Linked DNA regions of Drosophila melanogaster. The protein of the gene in region 1 interacts with the protein of each later gene in a pairwise test. Each region holds a gene or a part of one and is shown on either strand. Other genes may lie near its edges.

Evidence for each region.
Region 2: the proteins of Ipk2 (region 1) and CG15071 interact in a two-hybrid assay, tested with the Drosophila melanogaster proteins (one large-scale study listed by BioGRID).
Region 3: the proteins of Ipk2 (region 1) and Afg3l2 interact in a two-hybrid assay, tested with the Drosophila melanogaster proteins (one large-scale study listed by BioGRID).

What each region holds. Positions count from the first base shown.
Region 1 is NT_033779.5:569,803-580,894, forward strand, and holds Ipk2 (inositol phosphate kinase 2), read right to left. Parts: upstream 4,463-11,092; 5' UTR 4,334-4,462; coding exon 3,404-4,333; 3' UTR 3,231-3,403; downstream 1-3,230. Other genes in the region: Sf3b1 (splicing factor 3b subunit 1), read left to right, coding at 1-2,848; cold (coiled), read left to right, coding at 4,839-4,896, 4,978-5,288, 5,342-5,434; Ptth (prothoracicotropic hormone), read right to left, coding at 5,975-6,220, 6,279-6,602, 6,712-6,798; Pph13 (PvuII-PstI homology 13), read left to right, coding at 8,191-8,231, 8,353-8,618, 8,682-9,448.
Region 2 is NT_033778.4:18,690,808-18,701,250, reverse strand, and holds CG15071 (uncharacterized protein), read right to left. Parts: upstream 4,667-10,443; 5' UTR 4,618-4,666; coding exon 3,997-4,617; 3' UTR 3,906-3,996; downstream 1-3,905. Other genes in the region: Sik3 (Salt-inducible kinase 3), read right to left, coding at 1-233, 299-581, 640-1,232, 1,292-1,547, 1,611-1,946, 8,389-8,586.
Region 3 is NT_037436.4:17,237,388-17,248,479, reverse strand, and holds Afg3l2 (AFG3 like matrix AAA peptidase subunit 2), read left to right. Parts: upstream 1-6,351; 5' UTR 6,352-6,611; coding exon 6,612-6,695; intron 6,696-6,760; coding exon 6,761-7,263; intron 7,264-7,421; coding exon 7,422-7,817; intron 7,818-7,871; coding exon 7,872-9,369; 3' UTR 9,370-9,733; downstream 9,734-11,092. Other genes in the region: CG7707 (uncharacterized protein), read right to left, coding at 3,816-4,107, 4,171-4,370, 4,433-4,666, 4,715-4,951.

The DNA.
Region 1 (11,092 bases):
TCCTATCGGAGTCAAGGCAATGGCCATGGCCACGCCCTCTGCGGGAGCTCTGGCTGCGATGACACCAGAGCAATTGCAAGCCTATCGCTGGGAAAAGGAAATCGACGAGAGAAACAGGCCATACACAGACGAAGAGTTGGACCAAATCTTTCCGCCTGGTTACAAAATTCTACCGCCACCAGCTGGCTATGTTCCACTGCGCACTCCCGGCAGAAAGCTGATGGCCACGCCTACGCCAATTGCTGGCACCCCAGCCGGTTTCTTCATCCAAGTGGAGGACAAGAATGCCAAATTCATGGATAACCAACCAAAGGGGCAAAATCTCCCCTTCATGAAACCAGAGGATGCGCAATATTTTGACAAGCTACTTGTAGACGTGAACGAAGACTCTCTGTCGCCTGAGGAACTCAAGGAGCGCAAGATAATGAAGCTACTGCTGACCATCAAGAACGGCTCGCCACCAATGAGAAAGTCGGCCTTGAGGCAGATTACGGACAAAGCAAGGGAATTCGGAGCAGGACCTTTGTTTAACCAGATTCTTCCGTTGCTTATGTCGCCCACATTGGAGGACCAAGAGCGTCATTTATTAGTGAAGGTAATTGATCGTGTTTTATACAAACTGGACGATTTGGTGCGGCCCTATGTGCACAAGATTTTGGTGGTCATAGAACCGCTGCTGATTGATGAAGATCACTACGCTCGCATAGAAGGCAGAGAAATCATATCCAACCTGGCCAAGGCCGCTGGTTTGGCCACCATGATCTCTACTATGAGACCGGACATTGACAACATCGACGAGTATGTACGAAACACCACAGCGCGTGCCTTTGCCGTGGTCGCTTCAGCTTTGGGAATTCCCTCTTTACTGCCCTTCCTAAAAGCCGTTTGCAAGTCGAAGAAATCCTGGCAAGCGCGGCACACTGGCATCAAAATTGTCCAGCAAATTGCCATCCTGATGGGATGTGCTATATTGCCGCATCTTAAAGCTCTCGTGGAGATTATCGAGCACGGACTAGTGGACGAGCAGCAGAAGGTACGCACAATTACAGCCTTGGCCATTGCTGCCTTGGCAGAGGCAGCCACTCCGTACGGCATTGAATCCTTCGATTCCGTGCTAAAGCCGCTTTGGAAGGGTATTCGCACGCATCGCGGCAAAGGTCTGGCCGCCTTCCTCAAGGCTATTGGCTATTTGATTCCCCTGATGGACGCCGAGTACGCTAATTACTATACGCGTGAAGTGATGTTGATTCTTATCCGCGAGTTCCAGTCTCCAGATGAGGAAATGAAAAAGATTGTACTAAAGGTGGTGAAGCAATGTTGCGCCACCGATGGTGTGGAACCGCAGTACATCAAAGAGGAGATTCTTCCGCACTTTTTCAAGTTCTTCTGGAATCACCGCATGGCCCTGGACAGGCGTAACTACCGCCAGCTGGTGGACACCACCGTGGAGATTGCCAACAAGGTGGGCGCCTCTGAGATTATCAATCGTGTGGTGGATGACCTGAAGGATGAGAACGAGCAGTACAGGAAGATGGTGATGGAAACAGTGGAGAAGATCATGGGCAACCTAGGAGCAGCAGATATCGATTCGCGCTTGGAGGAGCAGCTTATCGATGGTATTCTCTATGCCTTCCAAGAGCAGACCACTGAGGATGTGGTGATGTTGAATGGATTCGGCACCATCGTGAATCAGCTGGGCAAGCGAGTTAAGCCCTATTTGCCCCAGATTTGTGGAACGATTCTATGGCGGTTGAACAACAAATCCGCGAAAGTTCGTCAGCAGGCGGCGGATCTGATCTCGAGAATAGCGGTAGTGATGAAAACGTGCCAGGAGGAGAAGCTGATGGGACACTTGGGCGTTGTGCTTTACGAGTACTTGGGTGAGGAGTATCCCGAAGTGTTGGGTAGCATCCTGGGTGCCCTGAAGGCCATCGTAAACGTGATTGGAATGACCAAGATGACACCTCCTATCAAGGATTTGCTGCCTCGTCTTACACCCATCCTAAAGAATCGTCACGAGAAGGTGCAAGAGAACTGCATTGACCTGGTGGGACGAATTGCAGATCGCGGACCTGAGTATGTGTCCGCTCGCGAGTGGATGCGAATTTGTTTTGAGCTACTGGAGTTGCTCAAGGCCCACAAGAAGGCGATTAGGAGAGCCACTGTGAACACCTTTGGCTACATTGCCAAAGCCATTGGTCCCCACGACGTGCTTGCTACACTACTGAATAATCTCAAGGTTCAGGAGCGTCAGAACCGCGTGTGCACCACAGTGGCCATTGCCATCGTGGCCGAGTCTTGTCGACCTTTTACCGTGCTCCCTGCTCTGATGAACGAGTACCGAGTGCCCGAGCTCAACGTTCAGAATGGTGTGTTGAAGTCACTCTCTTTCCTGTTTGAATACATCGGAGAAATGGGCAAGGATTACATATACGCCGTCTGTCCACTTCTGGAAGATGCCCTCATGGACCGAGATCTAGTCCACCGGCAAACCGCCTGCTCTGCCATCAAGCATATGTCACTGGGAGTGTATGGTTTCGGCTGCGAGGATGCTTTGACCCATCTTCTCAACTACGTGTGGCCCAACATTTTTGAGACGTCCCCCCATCTCGTGCAAGCCTTCATGGATTCCGTGGACGGTTTAAGGGTGTCCCTGGGACCCATTAAGATCCTGCAATATACGCTACAGGGACTTTTCCACCCCGCTCGCAAAGTGAGAGACGTTTACTGGAAGATCTACAATTCGCTGTACATTGGAGGTCAGGACGCTCTGATCGCCGGCTATCCGCGGATTACTAATGATCCCAAGAACCAGTACGAGCGGTACGAGTTGGACTACACGCTATAAATTGTAATAGCTTATCTGCTAGTGGTAGGATTCTCTAAGATACCAATATATAAATCCAAACTATTCAAACCATTTGTTCTTAATTGATCTTTCCTGCCGTAAAATACAGAAAATCATTGGATCTTCAATTATTACATGAATAATCTCTAATCGTAATCGCATGACGACTTCTATTATCTTTAAACAGATAAGATAGATTTATTGTTTGTTTGTATATGAAGTAATATTACAGAAAGACGAATCATGCCAATGCGCATCCATTTCTCATATCCGTGGAATCATTTCATGGGAAATAATTGCCTCGCAATGAGTCATCATCATAGTCCCATCTCGCACCTCTCATTCCCATTCACAAATTCGATTTGAAGTACATACACAATTTCTAAAAAATCTGGTTTTATTCTACGTTTAGAGTAGCTCCGCCCGTGTTCCTTAAACGGATGGGTATCTACTGTGGACTAATCATTTGGCTTAGACGATAATACAAAAGTGTCTCATTGCAATGAGATTGGAACTTCTACTACATCTTTGAGTGGTCTTGGTCCGCTTTGATCATCATCGGTGGAGTATTGATTGGACGACTTCTATCAGGCTCTGGAGACCGAACATGTAGTTCTCGTCCGGCAAGCCCTGTTCTGCCGGGTAAACATGAGCAAAGTCGATCATTTTGACCCGCACCCAAGTGGCGGGGTCATCATCATTTTGGTGGTAGCCGTTTATCAACGGCTTTGGGGGATCAGCCAGTCTTGAATAGTCGTAGCAGATGAGCAAAGAACTGGCATAGAAATGCAGCAGGCGCTGCCGTTGAAACCACGCTAGGATCTCCTGCAGCTGGCGGAGTACTTCCTTCAAAAGCAACTCACAGCCCGCTCTCCTGCTCTTGGAATCACTTGTGCTGGCATTGAAAAACAGGGCCATAGTTTGCTTGAATCCCTCCACATTCAAGCTCTTCCCGTAGTCCTTCCCGTGGCGCAGGATTGTGGTCTCCTGAGTGTGCTCCTCCTTGGGAAGGTACACTTGGAATCCCGGCAAGCAAAGGCCCAGCTTTTGCTTGCACATAACGTACTTGGCCTCCTCAACCTTTCGTTTGTTGGGCGAGGACTCTGGATCCCAAGTTCGTTTACCCATCTTCACGTCCATGACGCACGGCTTTGCGTACGATCGCGTGAGGTCTTCCAGGCGCAGGAACGTGCGCTCGCGCCGATTCACAACCAGTTTTAGGGGGCCGTAAAACCGGGGGACGTGACCGCGGAGCAGCGCCAGGAGGTCATTATCACCTGAAGCACCTGCCTCTGCGAGTGACTCATAGAAGCGCAGCTCCCGTTCGCCGCACTCCGGCTTCCCCAGAGGCTTCAGTACGCATCCCGCCTTCGAGTCCTGCAGAAGACCCACTGCCTCCGCGTTGCTTTCCTCGAATGTGTGACCCGCAACCTGTGTCTTTAGCTGGCGAAATCCCTCGGGAAGCTCCTGATCACTCTTGGCCATGACGGCGCGGTAGTAGTCCAGTAGTCTGGTCCAGGAGCAGCACCTCTGAAGGCGGCAATCGGATTGCCTTTGCAAATGTCGCACAGAAAACGTAGCGCGCACTTACCGCTCTGAACCAGTGATGACTAACCGGCTGGCTACCCGCCAGGGTCTGGCCTTTTTGGCGGGAACATGTTAGCAAGATGCAATCATTTCAAGGCGACAATGAACTATTAGCTAGGTACGTTAAAAAAATTATTATTAATTCTTTTTGGTTTATAAATATTTCAAACAACGTGTCTCTCAATTATTTATCCACTTAAAAGTTATTAATAAGCAAGCGCCACAGGTGGCAGCACTTGGCCATGTTTAGTGCTGCAAAGCGCCTTGAAGTTGGTGTTGCAGAACGCGCGTTCTTCTAATTTGTTGCTAATGTTTTTTTGGGAGTGGTTTTGTTTGTTAATTTGACTTGTTTATTTACTTTGAGCTTATCGGCTCCGATTGCGTTAATTACTCCAGATATACGATGAAATCGTGGGAGATAGCTGTGGTGCTAGTCGCCGCTGTTTACTTGTGTTCGCAAGGTAAGTTTCATTTTTGAAGCCCGACTTTGGGCCACACCTTTAAAATATTTAGAACCTCTCGAATAAATAACATATTTTTAGTAAATTTCGTGGCCGGTCTGGAGTGCTATGTCTGCTCCAACCAGACGGGCAACACGGAGAAGTGCCTGAACACCATCAAGACCTGCGAGCCCTTTGAAAACGTCTGCGGAACGGAGATCCGCTGGGGATCCCAGCCGTACTTCTCGGAGGGTGCTCTTAAGCAATACTACGTGTCCAAGAGGTGCATGACCAAGGAGCAGTGCCAGTCCAAGAGGAAGCGCTATATGCAGCTGTACTGCACCCACATCTGGTACGAGGATTGGGCGTGCAACGAGTGCTGCAAGGGAGATCGGTGCAACTACTTTGTCATTGTGGGTAGATAGTACATTTAACTGGGACTACCAACTAATCGGAATTGTTACAGAGTGGCGCTCCTTCAAGACAAGGCTATGGTGTCTGTTTAACCCTGCTCACCGCACTATTAGGACTTGGATCTTGGCTCATTCCACGCTCTTAGCCTCAAGAGCCTTTGCTATACCAAGCACATTTCGCTTTTTGTATTATTTAAACGAAGCCGTCCATAAGCTAAGTAGATTCCACACTCCATTTAAAACTACACCGTCAAAGTGCCTTGACTCAGTTGGGAAGTAATGCCATTTACTATCCTGATGCCTTGCGAAGCGAAGTTTCTTTTCTAATACTTTACATTTTATTTGTAACAAAATTGTTTCTCTGGATTCAAGTTTTTTAGATTTTTTACGTTTATGGGACAGTTTTTATACTCGTGCATCAATGACAACAAGAGCTATTTTGATTATTGCTTTATTTCGAATTTTGCTGATGAATACGAATTGCATCCACGACATATCCTAGACAAATTATCTAAGAGAAAGCTCAAACATGAACATTAAGCTACATATAAGAATCAAAAGAATGCCTTAAAAATAACAATCTGTTTCATATCGAATCTCTCCCACAATAAAGCAACTTTGACGTCTTTTTGGCGCTTTAATATACAATTAATTCACATTCACGATAGTTGCTCACATCCTTTCAATCACTTTGTGCAGAAGCAGCCGGCAGTTACGGTGACCGTTTTGAACTGCCAAGGTTGATCCTTGTTCATCCACGAATAGGGGTGATCGGACTGAGAGGTCTGTGCCAGGACCTTTACCTTATATTCCAGTGGCCTGCAATTGGATCCATGCGAGCACTTGGCCAGATCCCGACCAGCGCCCGATTCGCAAACGGCATTCATCAGAAAGCGAGGGAAGTGCAGACCACCCAGATCCACGAGCTCATTCTGGGAATAACAAAATAATTATAAACATCTGACGCGGCTGAATGGTATCCCAACGAACCGTAACTTTGCAGTCGCAGCCTGCGGAATGGACATCATTGCGTTTGGTGGTCACCAGATCCTCATAGAAATCGTTATAGTACATGGGCGGCAGCTGATGGGGCATGACCATCGCCATCTCTGTGGGATGTGGAGTGCTGGGACTGAATCCGAATAGGGCACTGAGCATTTTCGATGTACTGCGATCGGGCTGCTGCTCCTCCGCGCGGTGTTCCAGACTCCTTAGACCCACCATCTCGTCCAAACCTTCATCGCTGGCGTACTGACTGGCGATTCCTTTATTTGTCAGGCTAAGCAGCGCCATTGCCATAATGGAAATGGGCAACTTGGAACGGAAGGGTTTTAAAATGAATTCAGTTCGGAGTATATCCTTGTGCGCCCTCCTTTGTAATTTCGTTTCTATATCTTTCGGCTCTCATCCAGATGAAACTTACCCACGGCATCATGCTCGATCTGTGCCTGACCAGCGCTGTACTCCTTCTGCAGCTCTGGCCAAGGAGTCGCCATACTTTTATATCCATTTAGGACAAAAGCCGCCTCTCGGATTACCTTTTGTGCCAGAGATGAGAGCAGCAGCATCCATTACGGTTCGTCACCTGGACAGGATGGAACAATGGACTCCACAGTTGACACCACAACAATGGCAAGCCATGCCAAGCTCAAGTGGCCCGGCTGATGGGGTTGAGTCCCTCGGCTATTTATACTCCTCTGCTGCTTTCAATGCTTCAATGGGGGAAATGGCTTTAAGGCCTCAAGTGCCGGCAGAGGTGGAGAACTTTGGGCGGTGGGAGTAGCCAAAAGAAGCCCACTGACCCAGACATGTGTGCAGAGGCAAAGGGCAATCCGATCTCCTCCCATCGATAACGTTGACCAGGGTGGGTTTCTGGATTTTTGGTTTCCGAAACGGCTCCGAAACTTTTTCCATAGCATACTTTTGAGTGAGGAGCTGTGGGAAATGCAATTCCGATTGTATTTTACTTGTCGGATTTCCCCCAAATGGATGACATTTCCGTTTCATGGTCTTGTTTAAAGAATATTGTTTTTATAATGTGCAAAGGCAGATGAATGGTAAAAATAGTGGTTTATAGTCTTATGTAGAATTCTTAAACATTTTCCAGCTATGCACATCCTCCGAAGGCACCATGAGTTGCCATAAATTATGAGCTCACTATGTCTCCCACTTGGGCCAGTTTGGGTGAGGAGCACCGCCACTGGCATAACAAGCCCGGCTAGAACGACTGTCCAAGAGGCTAGACCGGGTCAGACCTCTTAGGCACATAGTATATACCCCTGTTCGTAGGGAGCCCGCGAGTGTGCGAGTGCCAGTGGACTGTGGTCGACTTCTACGGCTTCTGTCGACGGACAGCACGCACTGTCACTGTTCCCCGTGGAAATCCAAAATCCTCCTCAGTCGAATTCGCGTCGTCGAGGCAAGAACAGTGCCCGTGCCACAAGGTTGGACATGCACAGCTGGACAATCTGACATCGCTTAGCCATCAGCAGCTACATAGGTTCGAGCAAGGGAAGTCGGGACTTGGAATCGGAATCAGAATAAAAAACCAGGAGCGGAGGAGATGCAGATTCCGCTGGTGGGCGACTTATGCTGAGCTCCGCAGCTGCCTGTCTCCAAAGACTTCATCCGTGCTTTCGCCGTTGTTGTTGTGCAGTTTTTCCGCCGTGGAATTTGTCGAAGCGGAAAAGCGAGAAGAAGCAGCGACGCGAAGCCCTCGAAGTGTCGACGAAAATCGTTAAAAAATAGAAAAACACACGGCGACTATGTCACGACGCGCTTGAAGAGCCCCATCCTCGCTGAGGGAGATATTGAGATTGAGCGGGATCCACACCTCAGTGGCCACTACTCGCCACCCACTCCGCCAACGTCAACGTTCACCAACAGGAAGCTCAGGATTCGCATGGACAAAGGCACAATGAAGCGCAAGCAGCGGAGATACAGGTATAGCAGATACATTCGAAATGTACATATATCGCGGTATAAATCCAAAAACTGGACTAGTTTCATAAGTATCTACTAAAGCTATAGGTGCACTAACACTAGTTTTCCTAATGATCCGCAGAACCACATTTAACACACTGCAACTGCAGGAGCTGGAAAGGGCGTTCCAGCGGACACACTATCCGGACGTGTTTTTCCGAGAGGAGCTGGCCGTGAGGATCGATTTGACGGAGGCGAGGGTGCAGGTGTGGTTCCAGAACCGGCGGGCCAAGTGGCGCAAGCAGGAGAAGATCGGTGGGCTTGGCGGAGATTATAAGGAGGGTGCGTTGGATCTCGACGTGTCCTACGACGACAGCGCCGTCCTGGGCCAACTGGATAGTGCGCTGGGTAAGAAAGGATATCTCTGTTACCTATCAACCCATCGCTAGTAATGACCCATATTGATTTCAGGCGGCGGTGGAACTCTATTGCCGGACACCCCACCGCAATCCTCGAACTCCCTTGATAACGAACTTAAGGCCTCCTACGGCACGGGGGCCATGTCGCCCTCTAGGCTGTCACCGAATATATTTCTCAACCTCAACATTGACCACTTGGGACTGGAGCGGGGTGGCAGTGGCCTCTCCATGGAGTGGTCCACATATCCTCCGCAAACGCAAGCGCAGACACACCCGCAGATGGACTCCGACAATCAGCTCCAGCAGCACCCGCCTCAACAGCATGCATCCGATCCGATTCACGCCGGGAGTTCGAGTCATCACCAGCAGCAGCAGCAGCAGCACCAGCAGGAGCAGCACAATCCCCAGCTTCATCCGGGGCTTGAGTTTGCCGCCTCATTGAGTTTGGACATGACCGATGGCTCCTCCGCCTACGACGAGATGAAGTTTCTCAGCGTGGACGTGGACCAGTTCACGATCGACAGCTTCAAGGCGGACTGCATTCTGAGCATGGAGCAGTCCCAGATGCAGGCCTACGGCGGTCACTCCCAGCTGGTCGGATCATCCAATGAACTGTGCCTGGACGGGATTGGCATGTCCTCCTTTGGCATGGAAGAGGGTGAGCCCAAGTCGCCTCCCTCTCTTTTGGTGCTGGACAAGTCGCTGCCCTCTTTGAGCATAGGCGTGGAAGGAATCGCTGATCTCGTGGAGCAACTGCATCATCACCAGCATGAGGGCGGCCCAGTGGGCGGTGGTGTCATCACTGGCGATGTCATGTGAATCCAACTTAGGCGAATTCTCAGTTTCTCAGCGGTAAACTGAAGTGCGAAACCTGCTCTAGTTATATTCTTGTTTTCTAGTCAATGTTAATGTCTAAGTTCAAGACCCAACAAGGTCGCCACACTTGACTACAAATATTTGGATGGTTAACTTACAAAAATTTTAGTACTAAATACTAGTTTATCTGAAGTTGTATTACTTTAGTCCTGGAAATGTGTCTTGATAAATAGCAAAGTGGTTTACATAAAGAGAACCTGTAAGTTTATAACATTTGAAAACAACGAGAATTGTTGAAAAAGAATATTTTTCGTAGTGTACATTTGTGAATTTCGAAACATTCGAATCGAATCGAAACGAAACGGAACGGAACGGGTCCTTGACTACGAGCACGGGTACCTTTTCTGGCCAGGCTCAGCCATAGCTTCTATGGATTCCGCATGTGTGTGCCAAACAAAGGAACCCCCCCCCCCTACGCCCCTGCCACGTCCCCTACCCTCTGCACACGCCTTATTTGTGGCTCGGATTAGAGGCAAGCTAGTTGTGCGATTTGAATGGATTTCGGCTTCCAGTGCTGTTTGTTCGGCAATAACATTTGCTTTGCTTTTTAACAATTACCAAAGACCGCTCCACGCTCCTCCCTGACCTGCCCACTGGTTGGCTGTAATTTCCATTTACTCCTATTAACGAGGATTTCTGTAGCTCCTGATCCTAAGCATCCTCAACGAACAACTCCTACGCTCCATTAAGTGAAAAGCTCACAGCAGAGATGATAAATATGGTGAAATTTAATGAAATTGTCAGTTAGTTCTAAAGTACTACAATAGATATGCTATTCTCATTACACGGCGAGATCCAGATCACATGAGGGCATCTCGCTTGATTAAGACTCGTCCGGTTTGGCCAGAAAAGCTGGCTGGAATTAAGCCAGAGGCTTGAGGGGAATGGAGCGGCGAAAGGCCCGACAGAGGTAAGGATTCGATGCTGGGGGCACCCGGCTCAGCTGGCTTAACACCTTGGCGAGCTCCTTGTGGATTTTGCGAGGCCAAGGGCCACCCAGAGACATCCAGTGGCCACCCCGTCCTCCACACCGCCCCTGCTCGGATGCCATTTTCCAGCTGACAATGACAAGGACAATAAGCTAATTGAGGCTGAGGTGGCTGTGTATGGAGATGGGGATGTGGATGTGGATGTGGATGCGGCAACGGGCGGACAGGCCGCAGACTCAAAAACCCAACGGCACGCTCGGCTGGCCAAAAAAGTTCATTATCCCCAGCCGAGGGTGACATGGCGGATGGCCCTTGGATGCGGATGCGGATGAGGATGCGGATGAGGATGAGGATGCGACCGGTTGCTATTGGATAATCTTCTGTTATGAGGCCGCGCAACAATGCGCACTGAAATTCGGTTGGCTTTTTTCGAAAGTGATTGAAGAGAGGAGGAGGGCTGCTAAAAGATTTGATACTGGTAACAACTTTTAAGTATTTTCCCAACTCTCTATACATTGGACTTCTCGGCTGCCTGGCCTGGTCTGGCCATCTTATGGCTGCTGCTACTGACTGGCACATTTAAAATTAATCGAAAATCTTTTCTCCGGTATTATTTCGAGCACTCGCCTCTCGGGGCTGTGTGCACAAGGACCACAAA
Region 2 (10,443 bases), on another chromosome or scaffold:
CTCGTTGCATTCGCCGGTGGCATTCTCCTGGCAGCATTGCATCTGCGCCACCGACTGTTCGTTGAGCGGCGACAGCTCCTGCACTGCCAAAGGATCTGTGCCGCAATTCGGATTGATATAGTACCCGGCCGTGTCCATTTGCTGACCCTGAGCTGGACCCACAACGGTGCCCGTGGCGGGATAGTAGATGTGAAGATTTGCCCCGCCGTCTGAGGCACGACGCCCAAATGAGCCTAGAAAAATAGATGCCACATTAATGTTGTAAATGAACACTTCTGTCATATTGGCAAATACTCACTGGCTCCCATAACAACGGGCGGCTTGAGCAAATGCTGATCCTTGATGGTGAGGTTGTGCAGGGGTTGGTTCTGCAGCATGGGCAGATTAACTGGATAGTAGGGAACTGGCTGAGTGGGATCGCTGCACTGCGGTGGACACTTGAAGTCGATGGGCGGCACATTGGGATTAGCCAGCGCCTGCTCGTGGGCCACATCGCCGGGTCCCACTGTATGGCGTCTGGTATTCGCACCATTGACACCTCCACCAGCGTGTGCACTCAAATGCTGCGCATTAACAGGGGGCTGAAAAAAATAATCCACGTTGTTATCGAAAGTTTCAAGAGAATCATTTAATGCTCACATCATTTGATCGCGCCAGGCATTCCAGCTCAAAATCACCATATTTCTCCAGATCCACGGCGACATCGGACCAGCCAAAGCCCAAAGCTGAGCTGGAGGCATTGGCATTGCTCAACGGACTGAGTCGGTCCAGAGATTCCTGCTTGACGGGCTCCGAGCGATCCACCACGCCCGTCGTGATGCTCGTCTTACGTGATCGGGAGTAGGCTAGGCTGGCGTGGTGCTGCAGTCTTTGGTTTTCGCGTCGCCTTTGCTGCAGCTTGTCATGCAGCAGGTTGTAAATGGCGTAGATGTTGTCGAATCTCTGCTCGTGCACCGACTGTGCTATCATGTCGGCGGTCAGTCCGGGCAATTGGAGCATATGCGTCATTACCACAGAGTCCAGTTGCGGCGGTGAATCCGACGCACTTCCCAGCGAGGATGTGGACGCCGATTTGGACACTGTTCCCGAGCCGGGGGACATGTCACCGAAACGTTCCTGCTCCTGCATCTCTGACTGCCACTCGCTGAGCCAGCGGTGCTTGATGATTTGTTTGATAGTGTATCGCCGATCAGGCTCCACCACCAGCATGTTCCGTATTAGCTGCTCGCATTCTGTGTAACATAAGTTTTGGTTTAAGATATGTTCTTTCATACTACCATTTAGAGCTCACCTTGCGACATAAAGAAGGGAATGCGAAATTTGCCCAACACCACGCGACTTTTCAGTTCCAGGATAGTCTTTCCATCGAAAGGTAATGCTCCACAAACCAAGGCGTACAGCACAACGCCCAAACTCCAGATATCCGACTTGGGTCCATCGTATTCCAAGCCTTGGAAAACCTCTGGAGCGGCATAGGGCGGTGATCCACACCAAGTTTTTAAGGTGGCACCCTCTTCATAGTGATTACTAAAGCCAAAGTCGGCAAGCTGAAAGGCAAAGAAAGAAACTCAATTCAAAATTCTACTAGAATGGTAATTATATTATCATACCTTGATGTTCATGTCCTTGTCGAGAAGGACATTCTCGGCCTTGAGATCGCGATGCACCACCCCGCGCCGGTGGCAGTAGTGAACGGCCGAGACGAGTTGGGTGAAGACACGTGCCGCCTCCGGCTCCTTCATCCTGCCATTGGCCACCAGATGGTCGAAGATCTCCCCGTTTGGCGCGTACTCGGTGACCAGATAGATCATCGACTGCGACTCCATCACCTCGTACAATCGCGTGATGTGTGGATGCCGCAGCGATTTAAGGATCGCTATCTCGCGGAACGTCTTGTTCAGGTACTCCTCGTTCAGACATGTTTTGTCTATGATCTTGATGGCCACCTGCAAAATATGTCGCGAGAAAACAGGAACAAGATTTTAGCCAAAAAATACATATCATTCTTCGACCGACTGTTTGTCGCCTTGCTGGTTTGTTTGGCCCAGGTGAACGAACGTTTGCGGTGGAGCAAGTAAATGGGGAGAAATGTGATTTCAAAAGCGTACGAGCATCAGAGAAAGAGACCCCAAAAATCAAGATGTGTGGGTTGCACACACAAAACCAACAAAAAAGTGTCTCGCATGGCTAACACAACAGTGGTAAGAGAAAAACTTTGTTACTATGGTATAAAAAAGCCAAAAGGAAGATGGTCTAAAATGAGGGGCAAGGTCAACCATCTTATGTCCCTTTTGATAAATACATAATTGCTATTTCGACAGATTATGGTTAATATTTTTGAGAAAAATGTATTAAATTTGTATTCTCACAACCAAAGTTGGGTACTTTTGCTATTATTTAACCCTTTTAAGTGGCTTTTTCTTATAGTGTCAGACCACTGTAGGTATTTCTGTTACCAGGCGTCTTTGTGGGTGGCTTGGTGGCGCACAGTCTGCAGTGTCAGCATAAACGGTGGCTACACACAATGACAGCGCCATACATGGTGCGCGTGTTCGGATCTCGGGATCTCTACGGATATGTGAGTATGAGATATGGATGGATGGATGGATGATGAGTGCGGAGCGGCGGCGATGGCGGCAGACAAGACAAAAACATTCTTTGCTCACGACTTTCTGTTCGCAGACGACGACGACGAAATTGCCGTTGCCGTGGCCGACTGTTTATTTGCTTTTGTGTATTCGCGAAACATTTTAAAAATTTATCACAATGTTAAATAATTAACAACACAAGTGAGCGCACACTCACTCAGTCGCGCCGTCTCTTTCTCCTCAGCTGTTGCTCTCTCGCTCGACGACAATGAGCTAAAGCATCATCATCGCCACCGGTTTCTTTAAACTTTTTTTTTTTTTGCTTTTTTGTTATTGTTTGCTCAACATTTAAGCGAATTCCTGCTGCTTCCTGAGTACTTATTTCTTTAATATATTCAGCATTTTATGAAAATTTGTCAAAATATAAAAAAAAAGAGAAGCAGGGAATCTTTTCAATCAATTCAAACACACTTTTGTGAAAATTCCACCGCGAGAGAGTAGAACTTGAACTTGAGACAATGCAATGCAATGCAAACTATTTGTTTATAATAAAGACAAAGAGCGCTCTCGCTGCCGGGCAATGCGGCGTATGCGTAATGTCTGTTGAGCGAATTAGACGATGGCCGGCGAAATCGAGATGAGTGTCATACTTTTACATAATTGCATGAAACAAATGCTGATTCTGCACTGATATTACGTCCTATAAATCGCCAATGCCACGTGAGCCGGTTTTGAACTTCAGCCAACAACGGGAAACAAGGAAAAACCAAAGGCTTGGGGGGGGGGGGGGTAGGGCTGAAAAAAAAGTATGGAAAAAACAGAAATGCCATTGCCACGTGCCGTTTGACCTTTCCCCATTGGTCGCCCGGCGAATGCGATGAACCTCAAGCTCGGCGCTCGCAAATGAGACATTTCAAAATAATCGCAACCAGAAATACACCAACAACAAGTATAGCAGTCGTGGCAGAAAATACCAGTGTCGCCTCCGTTTGGGAATCCTTCAGCCGAAGGCGAAAAAAGTCGCATCAAAAGGTCCTATTGATTTAAAAGGCAAGCAGCTCAAGGCAAGGTCTAAAATGTTGTTGATTACGAGTGTCGCCCATTAAATAAGGGCCCTGAAACAATGTCAAGAATTTCAGCAATATTTGTCTGCAAATCGCAATGCATGGCCATCGAGAAAAGCATTTGCTCCGTAATACTTTTTCAAAACTAATGGTATTTGCATTTAAATTGGATTGGATAATACTTTGTAGGTATATCTACTTTTGAAACTATTCCACTTGATTTAAAGATATTTCTTTATTGTTTTGCAAGCCTATTCAAGTTATAGAACAAATACAAATTTTTGGGATATTATCTATGTGAAAAAGTGAAAAAAAAACTAATCCAAAAGTTGCTGTATATTAATCTACATGCTACCTTTCCACAACAGCTTATTTTCAATTTCCATTTTAGCGTACTGCTCCCTCAGTTCTTCGAGTTCCTTTGAGTTCCTAGCAGCCAAGCGATACAATTGGGCATTTAGGCCAACGATTCTTTCCCTTAGAGCATTCACTGTATATTGGCTAAGACGTTCTGGCCGAAAGACATCCTCCTTAACGGTGGCCACAAAATGCCACATATCCTGAAGCTCTCCACGCTTTTCGCTGCTATATAGCTTAAGTTTTTCATGGAGCACAAGTTTCTCCTGTTCGATTTCGTTGATCAGACCTATTAGATCTGCCGTGGAGGAACTGTTGGGTCGTGGATTTCGACCAGTTTCCGGCTCTTGGCAAGACTCGGTCTTTGAATCTGTGCCCTCATCATCTTTGAGTATGAAATTATTGGGATTCAGCTTGACTTGATTGCATTCGAGATATTTTTGCTGCGCCTTCAGGCGCGTCAATTCACACAGAATGGCGGTAGGTGTTAGTTTTGCCGCCCTGATCTTGGGCGGAATTTTAACTTGATTCCGTTTACGAGCGGGTTTTTCCGGCGGTTGAGCCCTTGGAGCCGTTGGCTTTTGTTCATCGTCTTTTGGATTTTCCATTGGGGCTTCGGTAGCATGTGATTGTTGCACAACATCCAAGGAGAGAGTCGTTGCAACTTCTGCAGCGCTCGTTTGGTTGTTCTTATTTACACGCGGTAATCAAACGTGTTGCCAGCACACCCAACCACCCACCCACTCCTTCCACGTGTTTAATCGATATGCAACCTTTCCACCCCCCTCGATTTTTCCGGCTGCTGTGCCAACAATTCTATGCTTCTGCCGGGGGTCAGTAAACTTTATTTGGCTTGGCTGGATTTTACAATTTTCCAAACGGCAGCGGTAACTTTCAGTGGAAATGGAAAATCGATTAGTACAATTACTGTTTCCATGTCATGGCCTACTTAATTGCCCATGGAAATGGGACAAACGGGGTCGTGGCTTGAAGACCACTTTCGTGGCTAACTAATTTCTAATCAGTACTTGTGGGAGACCGGGAAAATCCACCTGCTAGCCAAAAACTCAAGTGACGATCAAATGTTTGGCGAGCTAATCAAGTTTCAATGGACTAACAAAAGTATAAAGTAAAAGTAGGAAATACAACAGTGAGCCTTGCTTTAGTGGAACTAATATATTAAATCACAATCTACAATCAATGAAATCAAAGCTAAGAAGGTTTATATATTATGCAAAAATGTTCGTTATATTTAAGATTCACTGTTAACTAACGAAATTCGTTTATATTTAAATTGCCTTTTTTTTTTATGTACGGCTAAAATTGCTGGAATTACAAAAGTGCTTGGTATGGAAGTTTGACTGTTTGTGCGGATGAAATGTTGATTTATTATTTGTTTTGCTATCGCCTGCAAAGTCAAATCGGGCAGCATTAACTTGGCGCGTGCTGTTTGTCTTCTGTCTCCCTCCCACCCACCAGCCACAACCCACTTGCGCCCACACCACCCACTCCGCTGTGCGACAGAGACAGAGAGCGAACGCACGTGACTGATTTGCGAATTTACTTTTCTTGCGATGACAAAACATCGTGGATGAAAAATCAGCAGAAGAAGCAACTCCACTGATAGCATTTGTGCTTATCATTGGAATGTATGTATGTATGCGTATTTTTTTTTTTTGCTGCAGATAGCATAGTTTTGTTAGTATCAAAAGCATACAAATATGAACGTGGAAATGCAAAGGAAAGGCAAAAGGTCGACCTTAGATTTAGTGCGCATAATTTTTTGGGTTTTGTAAACACACACACACACAGTAGAAATATGATAAAAACCGCAGACACACGAATGGTGAGCTGCAAAAAGCCGCGAAATTGTTAATAAAAAGGTAAATAAAAATTGTTAAACGATTTCAGCCACCCATCTCGCTCGCTCATCATCTCCGTCCCGCTTGCACTCGCTTCTTTTCGGTCTGACGCGTGTTAGATGTTCAAACATGTTTTCGGTCTGCTGGCCAAAAGGCAACGCTCAGACGGCAGCTTAAATATTTGCCCATAGCGAAAGATCAATCAACAAATGTGAGCGAGACGGTGTGAATTGACCAGAAAGAGACGGGTAGAGCATAGGGCTGCACAGAGAGAAATAATATCGACATATAAATAATGAAATGTATAGTAGCATACAGTTTAAACAGTTTAAAAACTCACATTTGCAATGCGGTTTTTCATCTTAACTTGGAATGAAATTTAAAAAATATTTTATTTAAGTTCCCCTGCTTTTCTCTATGTAAAAACAAACACGAGTGGTATATAGAGTGTCTACGCTGCATGGCTGGTGCTTAATTGCATCAATTGGAGCATTAAAACAGTTGCCAAGGCAACTACAGAAAAATTCAATTAAACTAAAACTTGCCAATTGAGTGCAAACACATTCCGCACACAAAGAAAGTAAACTGAAATTCAATTTGAAAAACGGCACATGAAAGCGATCAAGAGAGCGTAGAACTCTAAACAAAGAAAGAAATCAATTAATACTATTTATATTGGCTAAGAAATGATAAAACTGTTTATTTCAGAGTCATTTCCCCCGCAGATTTTCACTAGAGGAAATCATGTAAGCTAGGCTATGATTTGCTTTTACGATACGCTGATCAAAGTACGTATCGCACACTTTCTTATCGATGGGTTCTGCAGTTCCTTCGGTTTAAACAAATAATCATAATTCGAATGTGTGTGTGTGTACCCACAGTTGTGTGTACAAGTGAACTTTTGCCATTTTTCCATTGATAATAGTGAATTATTGGCAAAATGCGCTTAGGAGCGATAAGCCATGGGCTCTAAGGCCATACACCATACGTAAATAAATTCATTTGTATTCAGATCCTAACGTACTCATGTTTTACCAACGCACAGATATAGCTATACTATATAGAATGAGTACACATATTGAGTGGACATGGCAGAAATAAGATAAGTGGCCACCATTGGACCTTGAAGTTGTCGAACAGCTGTGCGCTCTTATCAGGGGTAACAAAATTTCGTTACAGTCAACAAACAATTCGCCAGATCGAGGGAAGCTGATTCGATTTGTTTATCTATCTGCTTTGATGTGCCACACTGACCGACTGTTTCGAGAAATATGGCATACTATAGTCGCACTGAGCGATAATTTGACATTCAAAGTTATATATACCATTAGTGAGTACCACAATTGTTAGTTTTGGCCCACTAAATGTCACAGCATTAATCATTCAATCAGACTATAACGATCGATTTCGCCAGAGGCACGTGCTCATCACAAATTCCTCAACGCTGTCAATTATGCAAAAATTGATTGTTTGCTCTATAAATTTGCATGCTCTTTTGTGTTCGCTTCTGTTTTCATTGCCTGTAGTAGGTACATTTCACTTGACAATCCCAATTAACAAGTGTCACAGCTGTTCCCGTTGTGTTAGCACTTCGTCGGATGATTCCACCCGCAATGGATGCTAAAGATTTAAAAAAAATATAAGATGCAGGTGAGTCAATCGCTTAGATGCGACAGGTAAGGAAAGACGCTTAATTGTTATTTAGCCGGCTCATCAACTTCGGTTGACTTTATATAGCAGGAAATTCTCGGTGGGAAAAGACGATAACAAATGCATGTATCATCGACAAAAAAAAAAACAAAAGAGACAAAATCAAATTACTTCCTCATAAGGAACTGCCACACTCACATGGCAGTAAGGTAATAAACAACACTCACACTTTTGAGACGCTTTACAAATGCGATTCAATTAGCATCTACCGATTTCCACCTCCGGATTCACATTCCCCCCCGCCACCCTTTTTTCAAGCCATTGTCAATTGAAGGCAAACAAAAAGCCAAGCAACCGAAACAGAATCAGTAAGACCGAGATGCCGAAAACGAAACGAAACTCCTGATTGTCAATAAGTTGTGTAAATAATTATTGTACACATATTTACGCGGCAATAAACAAAATCATCAAAGAGCAACAACAACTAAAATCAATTCGATCAGCTCAAATGCGCAAAAAGCGCGTATGAATATGCTCAGATTTAAAAAGGCATTCAATTTACATGTGCCATAGAAGCGTTAGATAGATACAAATACTAAGACTTATAATCAAAAATCTTTGTTAATTAATAAAATTATTGTGGAGCAGGAACCAGAAATAACAAGAATTTTACACAAATTGTTTCGACAATTCGGAGATTTTCCTAAAGTATCTAAACCCCAGCAATTTGTATCAGTACGTGTATCTATTGATTCGAAGTAGAACTTAAAGATCTTTCACCCATACAGATCATAACCAATCTTTAAGCCGATGTCAGTTGCCAAGATTAGTCAGTTAATCAGTTGAGGTATTTGCATGGAAACTCACCTTTGTCTTGGTCACAATGTTGGTAGCCAGCTTGACCACTGCAAAGTTGCCCTTGCCGATGGTCTTCTCCAGCTCATAGTAGCCGACCCGGAGGAGCTTGTCCACGGATATCTTGCTGGTCGATGGCACCTTGTAGTTCTGCGGCGTTGAGGACGTTGGAGGAGCTGCTGCTGGCCCAGCCGTTGGTGTGGTGGCCATCGTCGCAGCTGCGTCGGTGTATTCCCTTTTTCTCTTTTTGCCGTAGGAGGATGAGGATTCTTGCGGATGCGTAATTGGCTTTTCGCGCACAGGAAATTCACTTAATATGCATTTTCTTTTGTCGCGCAGTTCAAACGCGAACGCGAGAGTTCATTTGCTGGCGGCGAGACTAACAAACCGGAGAATGGTGAACCGGAGAATTGAGAATGGAGAACGGAGAATTGGGATGACGGGATGCGGGAAACTGGTTGGGGATCCGGGAGTTTGGAGACGGGGGAGCCGCCGCCAGCAACAGTGGATTGTGTGAGTTGTGTAGAGTTTGCGCGGACTCTAAAATATTCACTTAACTCGATTAAGAGGTCAATGGCAGCTTCTCGTTCGGACTTTCCAGCGGATTCTCGGCGGGCAGTGGGCCATGCCCACCAGGCAACTCCAATGCTCACTTTGTTCTTTAGTTTTTTTTTTTTTATTTATTGAAGCGACACTTCCTCGAACGTTTTATTTGTTCTCAATATATGTATATATATTTTTTTGGTTTACGACGCCTTCAAGTCTCGATTTAATGGCTCTTTGTTCGAACGCAAATTACTTTTCACATTTCGATTTTGCACTTTTTGTCACCGTCTTGAGGGAAGAGAGGGAAAATTATTAAATAAGTATTTCACTTTGTCTAGTTTTTGACCTTGGGGTTTTCATTTCTATTTTTCTTTATCGCGGGTGGGCGTGGCGCATGTGTGCGTGTGGTTTAATGAGCAAAACAAACACCAAAGATAGCAAAAAGAGAAAAAGAAATAAACTAATGAAAACAGAGAGCAGTAGTGTTATCTATTCGAGCAGAAATCTCAAAGAAAACAAAAGGCACATGAATATTTTTCCAGCCATAACCGCTTTTTGTACTTTGATTTCTAAGCGCTGGCAATGTTTTTATTTCATTTTATTTTATTATTTTAGCTTTCAAAAAAACTTGGTGATAACATTTTTGGTTCAGCGTATGTTCATAAAAAACGGAACTTTTGAAGTAAACTAGTTAAAAAATTTTGTTATGCTTAAAAAGTACATTATCTCAGAATTTTTTTTCAGAATACTTTCAAGATATTTTTCCAAATACGAAAAAGTAGATATTTTACTCAATGAACATATTTTTATTAGGCAGGAATAGTTTTAAGTTTTCAGTGTAACGTTAAGAAAATGAAGCGCGTTAAGACCACGATAAAAAAAGAAAACAGGGCCCATGTCTGTTTTTTTTTTTTTTGTAAGCTGATCGCGCGAAAGAGACAGCGAGTAATAGGGGCTCACAATGGGTTAATGTACAACATCAAGGTCGTATGAAAACCGGGCACTTGCACAGCCACATTCGCACATAATCGTGAAGCGAAAGGGACGGTGATAGCGGTGGGGAACAGAGAGGGGTAGTCGTCAAAAAGCTCATTGAAATCAATTTAGACCAGAGTGTGTGCGAAGAAGAGGAAGCAGGCGGCGACGACGACGATCAAACATTAACCCAACCAACACTCGCCACACACTCGCATAATCCAAACAAATTGTTTTCCCCCAAAACTTTCTCGTGATATTTCGCGGGTGTGAAAAGAGCCGCGGCAGCTGGACACCTCACCCTCTCGCTTCCTCTCACATCCACCGATTTTCTCACATTTCTGAAAGGTTTTCGCGTACGCTTTCCTATTGTTTATTTGCATTTATCAGTGGAAAGACACAAAACAGTTGTAGAATTTTTGTGGAATTAGCAAGCGAATGGCATACCGCAGACCGAACCACGCGAAGTACGAAGCGGACGGAGTCAAAAGTCAAAACTGAATGAACTTCCAACCTGGAAGATACTTCTCCGGCTAACTGAAGCCG
Region 3 (11,092 bases), on another chromosome or scaffold:
GAAATTAAGTCGTTCATTAAATCAAACTTGACAAAAACTACACCATTCTGTTTGGTGATTAAGAGCAGCAGCATTTTACAGCAACTAACTAATAAATTCAGGCCAAAATAAGGAGTAAAGACTATAATTTGCTTATCCCAAGAGAGAACTGAAGTCGCAGTAGTAAAACTATAAGAATATAAAAAACGAACTTACAAATGAAGCCAGACGAATGTGCCGGAAAATCCTCACAAGACACAAGAGTTTGATTTAAAAAGTAGTTTATGTGTGCACGAATAAAACGTGGATTAAGACCCCCCCCGTTCCCAGTTTTGGTTAGTCAAATGACAGAGGGCCTCGAGGCGCATATGCAAAATGAAAACTTTGCTCCTGCCGCAGGCCACTCAGCCAACTGCAGATGTAAGACCAATGTGTCGTATGCGCAACGTGGAACTTGCCCAGCCGTAAATGGATGCGTCTTGGCAGCAGGCGTGAGTGCCACTTTCACACACACACAAGTGCACAAACCAACACGCTCACAGAGACACACAGACAGACACGCAGGGGGAGAAACGCTCAAACAAAACATGATAACAATTAAAACTTTGTACACTTGGCGTATTTACATTATTCATTTCGTTGTTGGATTCTCTTGTCACATTTCGTGCCACTTCTTCTGCACTCATTTTTTACGCTGCTCCTTTTGTTGCAAGCCACATTCATTTGCAGACATGCATCTCCATGTGTCCATCCACGAATCCAGAGCAAACAGTGATGGTCATAAGTTTTATTAGCTCCACAGAACTCAACAAATTATACAAATAGCATTAGTAATAGCACAGCATAAGTTAAATTTGAAAGCAAACTTAATAGAAATGAAATAGCTTGGTTTAAAATAGTTAAATGTCTTTAATAGTTAACAAGTCGGACCAAAGCTGAAAAGATAGAAAAACCAAACAACCCTAGTAACCCAAATGCTGCGTTAAGGTAATAATAAATTTGTTATTCATGCATATAGTGTGATCTGCTCTGGAACATAGCAAACAGTGGCGTATGGACAGCGGAACCTTAGTAGGTCTACGAAAAGATGAAAAGAGATCACCAAGGAGGAGAAAATCCGCACCATCCAATGTTAATAATATCATGGACTATAACCGATTCGAACGGATCACTGGACATAACCAACTATATAGGCGCACAAACTGCAACAATTTACAAAGAACTGGGAAAAATACGAACTGCAACGACAAGAATGATCCATATCATCGACTTAAATCATATATAAGCAACTCGAAACAAACTCAGATTTCATATAGAACAGGACCTAAAATTAAGCAGTCATTACAAATAGAAAAAGTCATTGAAATGAAAAAGCCCCCCAATATCAACGACATACTATTCTTCTGATGCACAAGCGCAAATTTGAGGGGAAGAAGCTGAAAAACTATGCGAAAACCAACGAATAAGCTTTTCTCCGACATCCGACATATTAACTTATATATTTCGGGCGTTATTGCACTGTTTTTTTGTGAAATAACACCCACGAAAATTGTAAAATAAGATTCGCGGGCATTATTTCATTTTCTTTTTTTTTTTTTTTTTGTAATAATGGCGGCGTTCGAAAATTGTGGCGGAGGACGAGGGGAAAATTGGGGCAGGGACAGGGACGTTAAGTACTTAATGACATTTTAAAATAAATATTAAATTTATGACAAAACGTAATTACCGGCCAGAAGGAGGCGTGGACAGCAACAGCTACAGGTTCGTTCGCGGCGCATGAAATATGAAACCATAATTACTTTAATTAAGCAAATATTTTGCGCCCGCAATTCTTTTCATTATCTGGGATGGAGAGGGGCGCGCGGGCCATTGATTGAGAGTATTTATTAAATGGTTATTATTGTTCGAACATCGTACGGCAATAAATTGATGCATTTTAATTATCGCTTAAAAGGCCGACACATTCCTTACACAACTTCGCTGACACTTCGAAATCGAGGACAGATCGAGACTTAAAAATCAATCAGATGTGTATTTATCTGCAAAATCTTCGCTTTTAAGCATAATATAATTTATATAATATAATATAGTTTAGTTATTCATTTGGAGCTGACGGAAATGGAAAGATCAACTCGGCTATTCAATCTGAACAAAAATATAGAATATAATATATATGTACCTTATACGGTCGGAAACGCTTCAAACTACCCATTTTTTAGCAAACCTTGTTTTTACTTTTCAACGCTGGTTTTTATAAGAGGAAAAACACCTATGGTTGAGAAATCATAAACACGATCGTTCGTCAATCATTTTACTTGTAACTTGATCTATTGTCGTGTCAAGTTTAACAGTGAATTGGGTAAAAATCATTGTATATATTGTGCAACGGGGTAGATAAAACAATGTATTGTAACAAACTCGAATTTGGATGCCACAAAAGCATGAGTTTCTTACTTAACTTTACTTACTTCTTAGTTCATTTGATGGTATATTAATAGCAATATTATAACGGCTAGAACGATGAAAGCGTTCACTGCAATTATCAATTTGTTGCTATTCGCGAATGTCATCATCTTGCACTTTTAATTTAATTGCGGAGGACAAAGCACGTCGTTCGGTTTCAAGTTCACGGGAACGAATGATCGATCGCGTTGCAAGACCGAGCATTCCACATTACGTGGAGAGAGAGAGAGAGAGAAATAGTGGGACCGGATAAATGGAAAGTGCTTTCCCTGCAATGAAATAGCAGTGCGAGGGAAACAAGCAGTGTATGCTATTCTTAAATGTAAAAATCACGAAATGATCAAATATTTTTTAAAAAGTCTGTTTGCTTAAGGTAATTCCTATATTTAAAAGGGCAATAAATTAAAAAAAATTAAATTAATTAATTAATTAATTTTAGTGGGAAGAGGACAGCACTGCTTCCAGGGGAAAAAAATATTAATTCTTAAGCTAAGAAAGGAAGGAAAAACATATAGGACATTCAAAAAACCCTTGAATGTTTTGCCCAAATGGTAAGCCATTAAATATGAATGGAAGCTCGGAAGCCGTAGTGCCATACATAAATCCAGAGATATAGCAATTCTCCAAAATTTGCCAGGACCTGGTGGACTCCATGCCGCGTAGGTGAAAGGCAGTGCTGGCTAACAAAGGAAATCCAACCAAGTATTAGACCCTAATTAATGTATTTAAAGGAAAAACTAAGTTAGTTCTAGATCAAGTTGAATTTTGTTACTATTTGTTCGTACCACTGCTATATCAGTGAACTCTAGAATTACTGCCTTTTATGTTGTTTTAATCTATATTTTTGAAACTATTAAAGAAAAAGTGATGTATTTGTTGAATTTTTTGAAATGATATTATTAAAAAAATTTGCCCATTAAAACTGTAAATCATAGGAATTTTTATCTTAAACTCGCAGGTCCCAAGCACTGCTATTTTTATGAACACAGTTGTATAATCGCCACACATGAACTAATAACTATTAAATAAGAAACTGGGCAAATAAACAAAGGAAATATTCAGTTTAAGCTATGTATGTTACTTGTTGAATTTTATCGAGACTTCAAAAGAGCACAAAAGGAAATGCGATAATCTATCTAAAATCGGATTAGACAGCATTTATAGAATGGTAGATTGGTGGATGCTTATGTTATCTTTATATGTAACACCAATATATCTTTGCTCTCTTGTTAGGTTTTCAATCTTATCAGTAGTTTACATGAGCAATCAAAAATAAAAATGCATTTTTTGTATATAAAACGTCAAATATCTTGTATTCAAATTAAATGTTACATGATCGTTAATTTGTTTAGCATTTTCGTCCACATACATCTTCAATCGACTAGTTCGCTCCATCTCAACACATTAAAGTTCAGATTTCCCAAATATACAAATTTGGGTCCTTTAAAGCACCTGGTCTCAACTCGAATGGCAAAGTCCGTTCCTGGTGGCAAGTCGAACGAATTGTGAGGATCTTCGTCTCCGCTAATTAGGTCCTTCAGGTAATCAATTAGAAACTGCGGACCTTCCACTATAAACTTTATAAACATTCGAGGAGTGCGCTTGGCTTTTGAATTTGGCTGAATACTGTAGGTGTACAAAGTGCCTTCCAAGCCCCTCTGTCCACTGAAAGAAATATATGATTTGATTAATCTGCGAACATAGATATGCATTAAATACGACTATTACCCATAGTTCTGATTGCTCTTCTCGTGGAAGAGCAGCTCGGCCAGAATGGAAATGAAGTAGATGCGTCGTTGGGACTCCACAGTATTGAAGCTGGCCTTTGCCTCTCCAATGACACCGATGAATGTGTTGCTCAATTCGACCTCCACGTTCCAGTGCCAAATGGTCTTACCGAATCCCAGGATTCTAAAATTTCGAAATTGCTGCAGAGATATGTGCACAGCTCACAACACGGTAGACTCAAGGAGCAAAGGACTTAACTCACTCGCAATAGGCCGAAAATTGCCATTGTGTAATGGAGGCGCTTAAGCTTCAGTCTCTCAGCACTGAATACGTTGAACGTTCGCTCATTGAGGAACAGGAAATGGGCAAGGAACTTGCCCAGATGGTCAGCTTCGTTATAAAAAACAGCCTCCTTAGAGTGGAAGTGCAGCAGACTGATGGCTACGTCGGATTCACTGTCTTCGTCGGAAAAGTAGCTAATTGTCGTGCGCAGGACCTGCGAAAGGCGGTTGGATCATCTATTGATGTTGTTGAACTAGCCCACCTGCAGCATGATCCTTTTCGCGCTACTCTGCTCCTTCTCCGAGGTTCCTTCCGAATGGGCCACCTCGTAGGCCTTGTGATGATGCAATATGTACGCCGTGCTGATTTGCTTCAGTTCCTCCGAAGTTTCCCGCAGCAACTTGTGGTGATATAGGTCCAAATGGCCCATGACCATATGCAGCACCTCAGCCGGCAAGTCCTGCAATCGAATTCGTTTATCCACTTGAGCCTCCTCCATTCGACTGGCCACGGATTTGTGAATATATGCGTAAAAAGATATGTACTAAAGAGTTGTATAAAAATTCTATGTAGACAGGCAACAAATGTTGCGTGCTAGCTGGAAATTTGTATGTAAAACACCTACTGCGCTCGGTTTACATTTATTTTTTTATTATACTTTTGAGAAAATTATGCAATTTGCTCTTTGATGTTTGTCTTTGGTTATACACTGTGTCGGTATAGTGAGCCTTCTCATGACGGACCTTTCGCACCTAGTGCAGCATCGTCAATATTGTTTAGAAAGAAATGCATCTTTGGATCCTCATTCAACACGGAGCCATCCACACCCAACGGTCGTCAATACTGGCACATACAACTGTGTTCATAAAAATAGCAGTGCCCGGGTTGGATTGCCTTTGTTAGCCAGCACTGCATTTCACCTACGCGGCATGGAGTCCACCAGGTCCTGGCAAATTTTGGAGAATTGATATATCTGTGGTTTATGTATGGCACTACGTTTTTCAGGCTTCCATTCATATTTAATGGCATCGGATACTCGGGCAGAACACTTAAGGGTTTTTTTAATGTCCTTATATGATTTTCCTTCCTTTCTTAGCTTAAGAATTAACATTATTTTCTTTTGGAAGCAGTACTGTTCTCTACCCACTAAAATGTAATTTTTTAATTTTTTTTTAAATTTATTGCCCTTTTAAATGTACGAATTAACTTAAACAAATACACTTTTTAAAAAATATTTGATCATTTCATTACTTTTACATTGGGCAAAACCAGACACTACTATTCTTATGAACAGCCTAAAAGTTGTAAATTTGCTCAAGAATGTAAATAAAGAAGGATAACATGAAAAACTAACGGGATTTTCTTGTTTTTCCTATCTACACATTACATTTAACAAAAATAAGTGGAATAAAAAGTCGATCCCGTTACGTAATTGAGTAAAAAAAGTACTTTTGAACTTCAGTAATTAATTTCCTTTGGAACGATCTTTTTAAGTTTGTTTCTAAACCAAGGTTCGCGTCTGCACTAAACGTTCCTTACGTTTTTACATACCAAAATGACTTATCCATAAAGTGCTATAATATTCATTAAAAAAAACGTGACCGTTGGTATTTAAAATGTATGTCGGTATTATTTAACCTTTCAGAGAGTTCCACTATTTTACTAAACAGCTTGGCACTAACTGAAGAGAGCATGATTGCTTCTGGTCTATAGCATTGTTCTCCTGCAATCGGGCCCAATTCGATTAACATTCATAAGAGCTTTGGGTAAGATATGCAAATCTTATTTATTTTTATTCAATTTTATGAAAATATATTTAAAAAGGGTATTTAAAATTCACTACTTAAAAATTTATTTCTGTTTTCAAACTATGGTATTTATTAATAGACCGGTCGGTATTTTCCATTGTTTTCGACGCGGTCACACTTAGTAATAAGAAATTTCTTACGCTTATTATTTCACCATTTCATTTGCGAAATCCGAGAGAAATTCAAAAGAAACCGGGTGTGCGTGGCGGCGAATTTCGGTGTCAGTTCGAAAAATCCATTATTTCCGTACCAAAATTGTGTCAGTGTGAGAGGCTTGGAGGCGGTGGCCACGCAATCCGGGCGACCGATCGTTGGGTAACCTAGCGCGAGAACCGAAAAACCGCCGTAGTCATGGCGTTCCGGCTGCTTGGCACGGCCAAAACGATGGCCGGAATGATGCGGCGCAACTACACGGCGGGTTCCTTGCCGGGAAAGGTGCCCACATCCCTCACTTACAAGGCTAGCCAAGTTTTTAATGCCCCCTCCTTTTTTTTTTGCAGGGACAACGCACACACATGGGTGCCACGGGCGCCGGGGTTTACATCCTGCCCACGGAGCTGTCGCCCCTGCTGCGCTACGTGGTCAAACAGATCCAGCTGCTGTGCAAAAAGCCGCCGAAGGGATTTGAAAAGTATTTCGAAGCCGGCGGCAAGTCGTCTGGCCAACCGAAGGGATCCGTCGGCGATAAGAAGCCACCCGCGGGTTCCAGCAAATCCGCCTCGGAGAAGCCCAGCACATCGACACCCGCCTCAGTTAAACCCAGCAGATCCCAAACAGACGCGAAATCGGACTGGAACTTCGGCATGTTCAGCAACAGCTCGAGGGGGCCAGCAGGAAAAGGAGGCAACTCGCTGGGCGGACGACCTCTGGGCGAGAACGGTGGCGGCGGGGACAGGGAGCGGTGGATCCTTCTGGGTGCCATCGGAGCCGTCGTCCTGGTGGGTTCGTTCGCCTTCTTCGAGATGGGCTACAAGGAGATCTCGTGGAAGGAGTTCGTCAACAGGTGAGTTCTAGCATTGCGTGTTGCATAAGAGTTCGATCAAAACATGTGAAACTAGAAGCTGTGGAATATATACATAATTCCATGGATCTAGATCTTTCGCCTGTTGTGATACGACTGCAATTCTCACTATTATATTTATCTCTATTTCCCAAAAACAGCTACCTGTCGAAGGGCGTCGTGGAGAAGCTGGAGGTGGTTAACAAGAAGTGGGTGAGAGTGCGTCTGCAGCAGAACAGCAACAGCGGCAGCGGCGTCTTGTGGTTCAACATCGGCAGTGTCGATAGCTTCGAGCGAAACCTGGAGGCAGCCCAGACGGAGCAGGGAACGGAATCCATCAACTTTGTGCCCGTAATCTACCGCAACGAGGTGGAGGCCGCCAGTCTGACGGGTCTGCTGCCCACGTTGCTCATCATAGGCTTTCTGGTCTATATGATGCGGAAGTCGGCCGATATGATGGGTGGAGGCCGTGGGCGCAAGGGTGGTGGTCTTTTTGGTGGCGTCATGCAGTCCACCGCAAAGCTAACCAATCCCAATGAGATTGGTGTGGGTTTCAAGTAAGTTGGCGAGACTTCACAGTACATACCTAATACCTTTTATATTCTTTACAGGGATGTTGCCGGTTGCGAGGAGGCCAAAATCGAAATCATGGAGTTCGTTAACTTCCTGAAGAACCCGCAGCAGTATATTGATTTAGGCGCCAAGATACCGAAGGGTGCCATGCTAACTGGCCCACCCGGAACGGGTAAAACGCTACTGGCCAAGGCTACCGCCGGCGAGGCGAATGTACCGTTTATTACCGTGTCGGGATCCGAGTTCCTCGAGATGTTTGTGGGCGTGGGACCTTCTCGTGTCCGCGACATGTTCGCCATGGCCCGAAAGCATGCTCCCTGCATCCTCTTCATCGACGAAATCGATGCTGTGGGTCGCAAACGTGGTGGCAAGACCTTCGGTGGCCACTCGGAGCAAGAGAATACCCTTAACCAGCTTCTGGTGGAAATGGATGGCTTCAATACCACTACGAATGTGGTCGTACTGGCCGCCACTAATCGTGTTGATATTCTGGACAAGGCTCTCATGCGACCAGGTCGTTTCGATCGACAGATTTATGTACCAGCACCTGATATTAAGGGCAGGGCGAGCATCTTTAAGGTGCATCTGGGTAACCTGAAAACGTCGCTGGACAAGAACGAGCTGAGCAGAAAAATGGCTGCACTGACACCAGGCTTCACAGGCGCTGACATCGCGAATGTTTGCAACGAAGCTGCTTTGATTGCCGCCCGCGACTCCAAGGATTCGATCGTACTCAAGCACTTCGAGCAGGCCATTGAGCGTGTTATCGCTGGCATGGAGAAGAAGACCAATGTTCTGGCGCCGGAGGAAAAGCGAACGGTGGCACACCACGAGGCTGGCCATGCGGTGGCCGGTTGGTTCCTGGAGCACGCAGATCCCCTGCTGAAGGTCTCGATTATACCACGCGGCAAGGGTCTGGGCTACGCCCAGTATCTGCCCAAGGATCACTACTTGCTGTCCAAGGAGCAGTTGTTCGATCGCATGTGCATGACGCTCGGCGGACGTGTGGCCGAAGAGCTGTTCTTTAATCGCATTACCACTGGTGCTCAGGATGATCTAAAGAAGATCACCGATATTGCCTACTCCCAGGTGGTGCGTTTCGGCATGAACGAGAAGGTCGGGCAGGTCAGCTTCGATGTGGGCCAGGCCGGTGATCCCGTTTTCAGCAAACCATACTCGGAGGACACAGCGCAGCTGATCGACAACGAGGTGAGGTCGATTATCAAATGTGCCCACGAGGCCACCACTAGTCTGCTGACCAAGCACAAGGAGAATGTTCAAAAAGTGGCGGAAAGACTGCTCCAAAACGAAGTGCTCAGCCGTGATGATATGATTGAGCTGCTGGGCCCACGACCCTTCAAAGAGAAGTCAACCTACGAGGAGTTCGTCGAGGGTACCGGCTCCTTCGAGGAGGACACCACTCTGCCCGAAGGCCTCAAGAGCTGGAACAAGGAAAAGGAACGAACGGAGCCTCTGGACGCTGGCAGCACGCCATCATCGCCGCCCACCAAGCCCGTAACTGCCCAGAGCAGTTAGGCAACGATCTTCGCTCATGTGGATGGGGAGTTTTGGTGTGGTAGTTCGAGGGTGCCGACATCTGTTTGTTTTTGTTGTAATCCCTAAACGCGGACCGGAGAAAACCCCGACATGTGGCAGATCGAGAAGGCAGGGCTCAAGGAGTTCCTAGACCTTCTGGAGTTACAGTTCTCCACGACGCGTTCATTATTGTTTTTGCATAATTTTAAGATACCCACATGGATAACTTGTTCCCGTGTTGAGCAATTAAGTGCTAGCCTGTACTAAATTCCCCGTATGCGTAGTTTCAAAATGGCAATAAAGAATGGAAATGACCTGTCAGTGTGGAAAAGCGAAATTAAACGATGTTATCAAGGCGAAAAATAATCGAATCAGTGTTGTTACTGCCTTACGGTTTAAACCCGTTTTCGAAAACAGCAAAAGTTGCAAAATACATACAATGTATTGCTTCATTATGTATATTTCATACAATAAAATGTTATGATAACATTGGAATGCAAAATTTGTTCTTAACTTTGGGATAGCCAGCTTTATTCTTAAGTTGACTGATAGTGCCAGGTTAAAATTTTTTTCAGTGTGAGCTTTTAAAGCTGCACGCGGTTTAAGAGAGTGCCGCTCTCTTCGGTAAGCTTTCTCCGCAAACTTTCGCCGGCTACTCTTCCTCGCTGCGGCTTATCACTTATCAGCTGTGATGCTGAAGTACATGCGCCATGTGCAGCCGGTAAATAGTGCAACTGCCGCAGTCGGCGCCTCTGCCGGTGCAAAGCTCCGTAGGGGCAGCACCAGCGGCAACAACAACAGCAGCAACAGCAGCGAAGGCAGAGAGTGCAGCAGTGCAGTCGACGTCGCTGCCGCCGGTCGTTTTGGGGCCGTCAGTTGGGTTTTGGGGTCTCGCCGCTCAGTGTCGTCTTGTTGGTTGTCGCGTTCGTGTGCGCGCACTGAGAAAAGCGGAACGCCAGCGTTGCACTAACCGTTGCAGTTTCTATATTACTCTCGAGTCGCCCGATTTCAGAGCTGTTCGTACCGCTCGTGGGAGTGCGTGCGTTTTAACCAAAACAACTACCAAATCGCGTACAAGATACCAAACCAATATAACCGAGAGGCCCGAAAGGAAAACCCCTGCTGTGGAGGGCATTTTGCATTTTGTTTACCTCGATGGCTGTGTGGAGTGCAATTTGACGATTATATAATATAAAATACAAAATACAAAAAATAGGGAAAACGAGTAACAGTGCGCGGCATTCGATTTTAATTGCAATCAACTACAATAACCGCTGAAGTAGAGGAGTTAAAGCGCAAACCTCTCCCTCGCACCCCCGCCCTCCCTCTCACTCACACTCACTAACACATTGCGTTTGTGTTGATCTTTCCTGCAAAATGGCTGCCGGCCGGCAAAATAACGGCAACATCCATACTTGATCGATAGAAAGAGAGCGGCAGAGAATCCCTAGCGATTTCATGTTTGATTTATTGGATTTTATTTTTCCTGAGACTTTCCTTTAGGCTTCTTGTTTGATTTCTTAGAAAATTAAAATTATGTATTTATGACAAATGGTGACCATTAGGATGAACAGAACAAGGAGGAGAATTTAATGCTAATGTTTATTTATTTTGTCAAGAAAATTATATTTAAATTTGTTTTGCCATTTGCATTTATTCTGCTTTAAGATAGGAAGCAAAATATCTCTTATCAATTAGTGTAAAATCAATCAACAAACACGTG